3 linked regions of the Nothobranchius furzeri genome follow. The protein of the gene in region 1 interacts with the protein of each later gene in a pairwise test. Links are inferred from orthologs where the notes say so. Each region holds a gene or a part of one and is shown in the gene's direction. Other genes may lie near its edges.

The links. The genes of interacting proteins can lie anywhere in the genome.
Region 2: the proteins of hspb1 (region 1) and ppm1aa interact in a two-hybrid assay, tested with the Homo sapiens proteins (2 studies listed by BioGRID and IntAct). The link is inferred for Nothobranchius furzeri from reciprocal best matches to the Homo sapiens genes HSPB1 and PPM1A.
Region 3: the proteins of hspb1 (region 1) and nvl interact in binary tests that used the Homo sapiens proteins (3 or more experiments, as listed by UniProt). The link is inferred for Nothobranchius furzeri from reciprocal best matches to the Homo sapiens genes HSPB1 and NVL.

The regions. Positions count from the first base shown.
Region 1 is NC_091750.1:66,231,748-66,235,132, forward strand, and holds hspb1 (heat shock protein beta-1), read left to right. Parts: upstream 1-1,268; 5' UTR 1,269-1,358; coding exon 1,359-1,740; intron 1,741-2,191; coding exon 2,192-2,255; intron 2,256-2,480; coding exon 2,481-2,631; 3' UTR 2,632-2,869; downstream 2,870-3,385. UniProt on the Homo sapiens protein: Small heat shock protein which functions as a molecular chaperone probably maintaining denatured proteins in a folding-competent state. Plays a role in stress resistance and actin organization.
Region 2 is NC_091758.1:31,241,382-31,244,900, reverse strand, and holds part of ppm1aa (protein phosphatase 1A), read left to right. Parts: coding exon 1-289; intron 290-376; coding exon 377-494; intron 495-2,413; coding exon 2,414-2,525; intron 2,526-2,673; coding exon 2,674-2,731; intron 2,732-3,519. UniProt on the Homo sapiens protein: Enzyme with a broad specificity. Negatively regulates TGF-beta signaling through dephosphorylating SMAD2 and SMAD3, resulting in their dissociation from SMAD4, nuclear export of the SMADs and termination of the TGF-beta-mediated signaling.
Region 3 is NC_091752.1:59,274,776-59,278,294, reverse strand, and holds part of nvl (nuclear valosin-containing protein-like), read left to right. Parts: intron 1-1,725; coding exon 1,726-1,969; intron 1,970-3,519. UniProt on the Homo sapiens protein: Participates in the assembly of the telomerase holoenzyme and effecting of telomerase activity via its interaction with TERT. Involved in both early and late stages of the pre-rRNA processing pathways.

The DNA.
Region 1 (3,385 bases):
TTTTGCTTATATGAATGTTGATGGTAAACTTTTATTTATACAACCACATTAGACTCTAGTGTTTTCATTAATAACATACTATAATAATAATGTAAGAAAATGTGTGGCTCTTTAAAAAATGTAAATTTTGAACGTTAACATTTGTTTTTCTTTAAAAATCTTTTCAGAAGTTTTTGAACTTTATGCATGAAAGGGTTTATATTAGTTAGATCATTTTCATTCTAGATGTTCAAACAAAATCATCTCATGTTGAAAAATGGTGGAATTGTTGGTTTTTCTTTCTTTTTTTTCCAGCTAAATATCTGAATACTTCTGAGTTAAAAATGCTTATGAAACGTGTATGTGGAGTAACCAGGTAGGTAGGTTTTAGTAGTGTTGCAAATCTGCAACGCCTGCCTCCAGAGGGTTGCTCAAAGACAACACCCAGCAGCATTTTGTTTAAAACTGAGATGCATTTGGTCTAAAATGAACGTCTTCTATGTTTTTAATCCAGTTTGATATCAAAATACAGTTAGTATTTTGGCGTAGATAGCCCGAAAAGAAGGGGTTGAATTGATTCACAGTTGAAAGTGTCTCCCAGGCAGGATCTAACACGTACGTGTAAATGCTCCCTTTGCTTACCCTAAACCCATCTTCCAGGTGTTTCTACAACACTCTGCTAAATGTTTTCTATTGGACGCATCTTTCTAGACCGTTGTGTGTGTAAATGTGCATCTGTATTAAAACTAGAGCAAAACCACGACCCTGAGAAACGAATGCAACCAAAATGATGTTTTCATGTCTGGTTTTTAGCTCACTTTTTCCTACTTTGATGAAACTAAACAGTTTCCTGTCATCCACTAAGAAACTTGGGAGTTTTTAACCCAGTTTGGGTCAAAATGAGTTTTGATAGAAGGACGACCTCTGAGTTAAACAATGCTCATGAAACACATATGTGGAGTAACCAGGTAGGTAACTGTTGCAAACCTGCAATGCCTGCCTCCAGAGGGTTAACCCAGGTGAGTATTATGTGTTACTTTTTGCATCGTATCCCAGCATGTTGTGATCACATCGGCTCTTCAGGTTTCCTCCAGTTGCTTCTAGTCAGATCTGATCAGAATGGGAGGGGTGGGGGTGGGAGCTCTTACGTTTGCACTGGGCAGCTGTTACCAAGACCCGCCCTCCACGTGCTGCAACAGACACAAATAGATTCTAGATCTTTCCGTAGGCATGTTGGGGGCTTGTGGGTCTGGGGGCAGGGCGTTAGGGGGGTGGGACCAGCGTGTATAAAAGCTCTGCAGCATGTGAGTCAGGCATCAACTTGGAAGAACATTTTCTGAAAGACTTGAGAAGACTTCTTCTGCCCGACCACAGCAAGCATGGCTGAGAGAAATATTCCCTTCACCCTGGCCCGCACTCCCAGCTGGGATCCGCTCCGGGACTGGCACCACAGCAGCCGGATCTTTGACCAGATCTTCGGCATGCCGGCCCTGCTGGAGGACTTTCCCACGTTCCCCAGCTCCCGCTGGCCCGGCTACCTGAGGCCCTCCATCCTGGGCACTGACATCATGATGCCCCACAGCCACATGTACCCGGGACAGATGTTGGCCCAGCAGGCTCGTGCCCTGTCCAGGCAGATGGGCAGTGGCGTGTCAGAGATCAAGCAGACGCAGGACAGCTGGAAGGTGTCCCTTGACGTCAACCACTTCTCACCTGAGGAGCTGGTGGTGAAGATGAAGGATGGTGTTGTGGAGATCTCTGGTGAGTTTTCTCTCTTCTCTAGGTGTTTAAGTAACCTGCAAACATTCAGGATCTTTTATTCAGGATCCAGGTTAACTGAGGTCATTGTCTCCAGATGAAAAGGACCCCTCCCCCTCTTCCTCACATGGGTGGGAGTGGGATTCTGGCTAGAAGCCAACAGATACCTGTGAAGCAGCTTAGTTTTACTTTTTGTTTACATTTTTACTGGTGGCATGTGAGGCCTCCTCCCTCTCGGACTCGCCCTCGTGATCCCAGTTCTTCCAGTTTGCTGTGACTCCCCAGTGTCTGCAGCTTTAAAAGGACTGCTGGATCCGGTCCAGTTGACTGGACCTGGTCTGAGCACAGAGATAAACAAAGCGTGTGATTCAGTCTCACGGAATGGCACAAGAGATGAATGACATCACTAGCTGTTTATTAATTATTTTTTTAATAATTTCTGTTGTTTCCACAGGAAAGCACGAGGAGAGGAAGGATGAACACGGCTTCATTTCTAGGAGCTTCACCAGGAAATACACGTAAGCTTTTATTTTATTTTTTCAAAATCTGCAGGTTTGTGCAAAATGCATGCAGTCAAATGTATTCTGTATATCTGAAGCTGAAGTTTGGAGTTCTGAAATGCCTTATCAGCCACCTAGTCAGTCATATCTGGTTTATTCAACTCCACAAGTCTGCTGCCACCTAGTGGCCACACCTCTGCTACTACAACAATGTGTAACACTGTCTCCTCCCCCCTCCTCCAGCCTCCCTCCTACCGCTACTTTCGAGAAGGTGACCTCCTCTCTCTCCCCTGAGGGGATTCTGACCGTGGAGGCTCCTCTGATGGCCATCGAGTCGACCGAAACCACGATCCCCGTCACCGTGGAGAAGAAACCCGCCGTGACCCAGAAGTAGATAGCAGCGCTATACACCCTGATGCCATCAACGCACACGCATGCATGCTTTTTGTTTTAATCCACAAACGTCTTCGAGGAGATGAATCTTGTTGTGGTTTTTTTTATTACTTTTTAATTAGCTTTTTCATTTGAAGTAAATGTTGATGTTGCTTCTCAGTGGTCATTATTAAAATCGTGTGTCCTCAGGTACCTGTTTGTCACTGAGCTGCTTTTGGAAATAAAATTAACAAAAAATATTCTTTTGTCTTTTTTTTCATGATGTGACACCAACATGGGTCTGTGTAGTTGAGCTACGTCTGAGAATGAATTTATGTGGCTAAATTATATCTTTTGGTCATCCATGCAAAAAGCGCATCACGAAAGTCCTGTTTACTTACCTGCACATAATTGTTGTTTGCTTTTTAAGCAAAATCTAATAAAATAACATGCAGCCAGCTAACAACTAAATAAATGAACTCAGTCAAATGATCAATTGGATTTTACTAAACGTCCCATTAGTGCATGTAAAGTGGGCGTGGCTTAAACTGAACTGACAACAGTCAATGATGCTCAGCTGCCGGAAAGAAGCCAGCCATGCTGGTTATTTTCATGTTGTTCTGCACCAGCTGATCATCTGTAGGATGGAACCTGTTTCCATCACTTCTTTCTCTCCTTCCATAGCATCATCCTTCAGGCTTTCGTGTTGCACGTCTGTCCGGAAATACACAGACCAACTCTGCTCCTGACCCCAAAGCTGCAGGGGGAAATCTATA
Region 2 (3,519 bases), on another chromosome or scaffold:
CATGATCCAGCGAGTTAACGGCTCTCTAGCTGTGTCTAGAGCTCTAGGAGACTTTGACTACAAGTGTGTGCTTGGCAAAGGCCCAACAGAGCAGCTTGTTTCTCCAGAACCTGAAGTGTACGCAATAGAAAGATCTGACGAGCAAGATGAATTCATTATACTAGCTTGTGATGGTATCTGGGACGTCATGGCCAATGAGGAACTCTGTGACTTTGTGCGGTCAAGGCTAGAGGTTACAGATGATCTTGAAAAAGTCAGCAATGAAATTGTTGACACCTGCTTGTACAAGGTATGGTATTTCCACAAGACCTGCTCATATCTGTACCAACTCCTGTGGTTGAGTTGCTTAATTGGTTGATTTCTTTTTTCTCCATAGGGAAGCCGTGACAATATGAGTGTTGTGTTAATCTGCTTTCCTGGAGCCCCAAAGGTATCTCCAGAGGCAGTGCAACAGGAGGCGGAGCTGGACAAATATCTTGAGGCCAGAGTAGAAGGTAGGAGATGAAGAAATGCTTTTTTTGTTTCTTGTGCAGAACATTTTTATTTTAACTTTTAAGCAGGTAGGAAAAGCAAGTTTAGATAGGTATATATGTTTAAGTGCTGCTTATCAGAGGCAAATCTGTTCAGATTTTCTTGTTTTTAAAACCATGTGACATTTTAAAGCAGCTTTCTATAAACGGGTTTATTCAATATAAATGTTTAGTCATGACAGAAAATGTGAAAGGTTACATCACGTAAGTGAAAGAGGACTTCATATTCATTTTTGCTCCAAGATCGCCAAAATTTGGAAATCTGTGGCAAACCATGTGGTCTGAATATTCATGTCCAGCACAAAATGCATGTTGTAGATTTACCACTGTTCAGGACAGACCATGTTGCACAAAATTAATATAAAGCTGAGCACTCCCATTAAATATGTTTGCACATTTCTTTGTTAAACTCGGGTAATTTGTATATTCATAAACTGAGAACTAGTCCACACGTAGCCGGGTTTTTTTTTTAAAACAAATATCCGCCCCTCCAAAAACTTGCATCCACACCACCTCGTTTAAAAAAAACTCTGTCTACACGTACCCAGATAAATACGTTGTTAAGGACATGCCAGACCTGTAGGTGGCAGTACTTCCCCGTTCTTAACCTCGTCCTTCGTCTGTGGTCTTCCGCAAGAAGCAGTAATTCCGCTTGCAAAAACAAACAAGCAAAAAGCGCTTGGACAATTGATAAAGCGAGCACAGCTCTGAGGGCATCCATGCTGTCGGCTAGTGTAAACACAGGTCGCACACGTGATGTCAGCATTTTTTTGTCGCGGAAAGTGACGTTGCAGACCTTAAAACTCCGGTTTTGTCTGTCCACACGCAGACACCCAAAACGGTGAAAATGCAGATCTTCACTTTGGCCGGAGTTTTTAAAAAGATCCGTTTTCGTGTGAAAAAACTCAGTTTTCATGTGGATGACAGGCCAAAACGTAGAAAAATATCTACGTTTTGGCAGATCCCCGGCTACGTGTGGACAGAGCCTGAAAGTGTGATTGTGTCCATGGGCCAAAATAAAGGAATTTAAACCCTGAAGCCATTCCAAGTCATAAATGGATCATCTTTGTTTTGTCTTTGTCTATTTGTATTGTTTAGAGTATTTTAATGTCCTAACTGTTACATCATCAGTTTGGGGCCAATAAAACATTTTTGGGTGTTTTTTATGCTTTTATTAGTTATTCATATGTTTTTTTGTTTCATTGCCCTGCTGGGAAATGATCAAACCACGACCCTGAAACCAAAGTTCAAGTTGAATATTTGAGTTGTCATTGTATCCTAAGGCTGTTTGACCAAACCTTTGGTAAACAAAAGGACTTCAGTCTCATCTTTAAGGTTAGAAATGGTGGTAATGCATCTCTGGATGTCAAACCTAAAAAGATCTTCAGGTCCACTAAATTCTGTCTGATCAAGATGAGATCATTCCCAGGTATGTCCATGCATTTTTCAACAAGTCAGTGCAAAACCACAGTTTCAACATGGTACAAAGAAAATGGGTAAGGAAAAAAGAGAGCCAGATTCCTTGACTAACCTGACTGCAGCCCTGACCTGTCTCCAACATGTGGAAAATGTATGAAGAAAGGCGACAACAACCCTGTACCACTGCACACTTTTAATATTTGATTGCAGGAAGAAATCACAACTCGGATGCTTGCTTCTTATCCTAAATGCTCGAATGCACTTTAGTTGTGAGAGGGAATGGCAACATTACAAAGTGGTAAAAGTTTTACCAGCCCAGCAATTTTTGATGTGTGACGTGTGCAATTAAATTTATGTATACATAAATACATGTAGCAAGATTTAAATAGAAGAATCCAGGGAAACACATTTCAAGCATTTATTTTTATAAATTTACCATTTGTTTTTTTTTTCCTCATTCGCAGAGATACTCAAAAAACAAGGAGGTCCGGTTGCCCCAGATTTGGTTCATGTTATGCGGACGTTAGCTTCTGAGAGTATCCCCAATCTTCCTCCTGGAGGAGAACTGGCGAGCAAGTAAGTGGCCCTTGTACTTGTGCTGAGTCACTTTTTTTTAAGACGTGTGATTATTTTTATTTCTCCAATTATTGCTTTTAAAATCACAACCATTGATGTAATTTTCTTTAGCACTATAATTTATTTCTACTTTTGTTCTTGTGCTCAGACGAAGTGTTATTGAGGCATTCTACAACAAACTTAACCCATACCGAAGTGATGACACTGTAAGTATCTGGCTGTTTCTTTGGGTTGTTTTTGGTCTGCTTTATTTGTAGAATGCATGGTTTTGATGTGTGACAAGCAACGAAAATACTTTGCATGTGTATGAATTCAAAAAGCCAAATAAAACTATTGGGGGTAATGCAGAATCATTTATGATTTTAATCCTGAGGTCGGCAACAAAAATGTTCAGTTGCTTACTTTTCTAGTTTTAGTTAAATAGCTCACATTTCTTTATTATTTTGATAATGTTATCAATTTAATATCACCTGACTTAATATTTACTCCTTATTTAAACTTTCTATATAAAATTTAAAGTGTCTAAGTGAAACTTTCAATTGCTTAAGAAACTAACACGATAACTGGTAAATGGGCCCGTATTTGATAAAACACCTTGTCGGGTTCTACAGCCCTCCAAGGTTTTTTACAACATACCAGCCAATCACATTTCACTCGGTACCCTTTGTTTTTTCCTAACTTAGTTATAAAGAGTAAAAACTGTCATCCAGTATCAGTTATTACTATCCGTTATTGTTTTCTGTCTTCATGGTTAAGTATAGCAAAGAATAATTGCATAGAAATGAAAATATTGTTACCACCAGTATTTTTACCAAACGTAAGCAAATAAGAATTGGTCTAAGTTCTGAGTCTTCCACTGCTAACTAGCGCTCAAGCAATGGCTTCCCAAGCCATAGGCTATAGGGTCTTGATGGGAATCCTTTTAACCCCATGTGATGGACCATAGACACTAATGGCTAGAAGTGGTTTCCTTCATTTTGACACATCCTAATTT
Region 3 (3,519 bases), on another chromosome or scaffold:
GTGCTGAATGGGCAAAATATCTCTTTCCAAATTCAGTACGTACAAATGGGACAGAAAGTAGCAAAGTGTCTTGTAAACAAAGAGAATAATGACCTGCAATTTTCATTTTAAGTAGGGAAGTTATATAGGAAGGTAGCAGACCAAGTAGTGCCTTTATATATAAATCTGAAAAAATGAGACTTCCTCCTGATGGTCAAAGCAGGCCATCCCATCTGATTGTACAACTCACAATGATGAGTCGAGTACTTACGGTTAGTAATAAGCCTTAGAGCAGCATGATACACTGTGTCAAGTGACTGAAGACATTTAGCAGAAGCGTTCATATACAAAATATCTCCATAATCCAGGACAGGAAAAAATGTTGCAACAACAAGACGGATCTTTGCATTAAAAGAGAAACACAACTTATTTTGAAAATACAAACGCAGTCCTAACTTCAGCTTCTTCACCAGATTCTCCACGAGGTTTGAAGGTGAGTGAGTCATCAATCAAGAAACCCAGATATTTATATGAGTGAACCAACAATATTTCTTAACCATCAAGTGTGGTCACTGAAGGAACCACTTGAGCCTGTCTCCTCGAGTTTGTAAACAGCATGAGCTTGGTTTTGTCTGCATTGAGAACAAGTTTAAGCTGAAGTAATGAATGCTGGACAGCAACAAAAGCTTTCTGTACTGAATCTATGGCTTGAGTTAAGAGTGTTTCCACAGCTGTAAATAACTGTATCATCGACATAAAAGTGCAGGTTTGCATCTGTCACATTTAGACCAAGATTATTAATGTAAATGATAAATACAAGAGGGCCCAACACAGAGCCCTGTGGTACCCCCTTGTGGACTATGGCAAATCAGAACAAAGTCCATCTGATTTAAATACACTAAAACCTGTTTTTAAGATAATTTGAGAACCATCCCACTGCTTTTTCAGATAGTTCTGACTGGAGGAGTCTAAGTTTTAGAATACCATGGTCAACAGTGTCAAATGCTTTTGACAAATCTATAAAAAGGGATGCACAGTGCTGCTTTTTGTCCAGAGCAACAACAATGTTGTTTACCACTTTTAGTACAGCCGTGGTAGTACTGTATGTTTTCCTAAAACCTGATTGATATTCAGATAAAATAGCATTAGTGTTTTAAAACTCCTTTAACTGTTCACTCACCAGATCCTCAAGAACTTTGGCCAGTATAGATAAGTTTGATATTGGCCTATAATTTGATAATTCTGTTGGATCTCCTCCTTTTAACAAAAGGGTAACAAAAGCCGATTTCCACACTGAGGGAATTTCACATCAGCTAACAAGTAGAGGGCAGACGATCTTCTTGAAGAAGAAATAGCAGGTCTGAGGGCCAAAATTCTTGCTAAAAACTTATTTTCTGCACATTACACAGATAAATTATTTTAAAAATCATACAATGCGATATCCTTTTTTTTACATTCCGTCTCCCACAGTAGAAGTATATCTGATGAAAATAACAGATTTGTCATCTTTAAGTAGAACAACTTGCACAATTGGTGCAAATACTGTTTTGCCACCTTTAAATTGTTTTACAAGCAGGTTTTACGACTTTGAATTCAGGTCAACTCCAATAAGGGAAGATTAAATAAATGCTGCATTTGGAATTAAACAAAATTGTACAGCTTAATTTTAAGCTATATCACTCAGCCCTACATTTCTCGTAAAAGCCACTCTGAACCTAATGCAAGCATGATTGTGTGTTTGACCAGGATCTTAAGAACATTGTGTCGAAAGCTGGTGCTGCCAGAAGATTTTGACTACCAGCAGCTGGCTCGGCTTACTCCAGGCTACGTAGGAGCTGATCTCATGGCTCTCTGTCGTGAAGCTGCCATGGCTGCTGTCAACAGGGTTCTCCTGAAAGCAAGGGAACCTCTTCAGGAACAAGCCCAGAACTGCACTCCAGGCCTGACGGGAAGTGGGGAACAAATGGTGGCTGATATGAACCACCATCAGGTAAAGGGGAACCCTAACCTTGTCTAGAGTAGGTATTCTGGGGGCTAACTGTAGTTTAGTTAGAGGTGAATGGGCCAAATTTGATAGGTGCAGCTTAATCTGATTTAACCATGCCGGTTGAACATGCCTTTTTAAATTCATCCTAACAAAGAGATTTTCTAACGAAAAAACAGTGGCTTAAGTTTTAAATTCAACAAGTTCCTCTGCATTGGTATTCTTTGATTCACAGACTACAAATTAGTAAGTCCCACAATTTAATTCTGGGAATTCACACACCACTACATGCAGCAGTTGGCTAACACAGAGCATAGTTATCACCTCAAAAGATAGAAAATGTTTGTATTTTGGATGTATTTATAAATGAACAGCAAAGGTGTAATGTGTGCAAACAGGGCATGTATAAAGGTGGAAGATTGGTGCTGCATTCAACAAAACGGATCTGGTTCAATTCACTGCAGCAATTCAGCTAAGCCAGCCAACACAAGGAAATGGGGGGGGGGGGGGGGGGGGGGGGTTGCTGGCTTTTCATTACACCAGCCTGCAATATTACAGCACCGCTGCTGTTCCTGCACTAGAGGTGTGAATCTTCACTTGTCTCCCGTTTCGATTACGATAATTGGGTCGACAATTCAAATCGATTATATATCCCGATGACTATTTCATATGGATTTGTTTTCATCGATAAATAGAAGATTTCATAAAATTTACTTGTGTCTGACACAACCTGCCATCTCCAAAAGCTCTCCATTCACAACAGTCCTTAGGACAAAACATTTTTAACCATTTAAGAAGATTTAACAAAGTAAAAAAATCTGTTTCCTCATTCAACATCACAGCTCAGGCTGAGAAAAGCATGCTTTGCAAATACTCACAAAATCTGAAAACCTACAGGACACGTCTGATTCTTGCCTTTAATTTAAGTTATGAAATCCTTAAAGGGTTCATATATGAGTGTTTAATGTCTTTGAGCAGCTTTAGAGTCAAATATTTCTGTTACAGTTCAAGGCTGTAAGAAATAACACCAAATGAAATGTTTGGCTTAGTTTGTTATTTTTTTATTTGAACCCAGTGGCCTTATTTCTGAAATGTTGGAGAATGAATCAAGTTGTTTAAAGCAAAAAATAATAAAACATTAAAATAATCCTAAACTTCCAATAATATTTAAGATGTGTGTTTTATTCTTTCTGATAATAACACCAGCAGAAGGCTGTGGGCTGGATTAGGATTAAATTACCCAGCTGATGGATCTCTTTCACTAACCAGCTAACTACAAACCTTTCCACCAACCTGTCCTGTGGGACCCTCACCATGTAACCCTCATGTCCATGCTGTCTCTGGAGGAGCAGATAGGAAACAAGATCTCCTGTAACTTAAATTGAACCAAAGCTTCCTCCCAGTTTCTCTTTAAGCTGAATTTAACATCAGTTTATCATCATGAAACAAAAGAATAAAGTGGAACAAAAACTTCTATCTTCTATTTCTCTTTACTTTTAACTTTTCCGTGTCCCTAAATAAAAGAGACAGATGGTTACGCTGCAGCCGCCGTCACT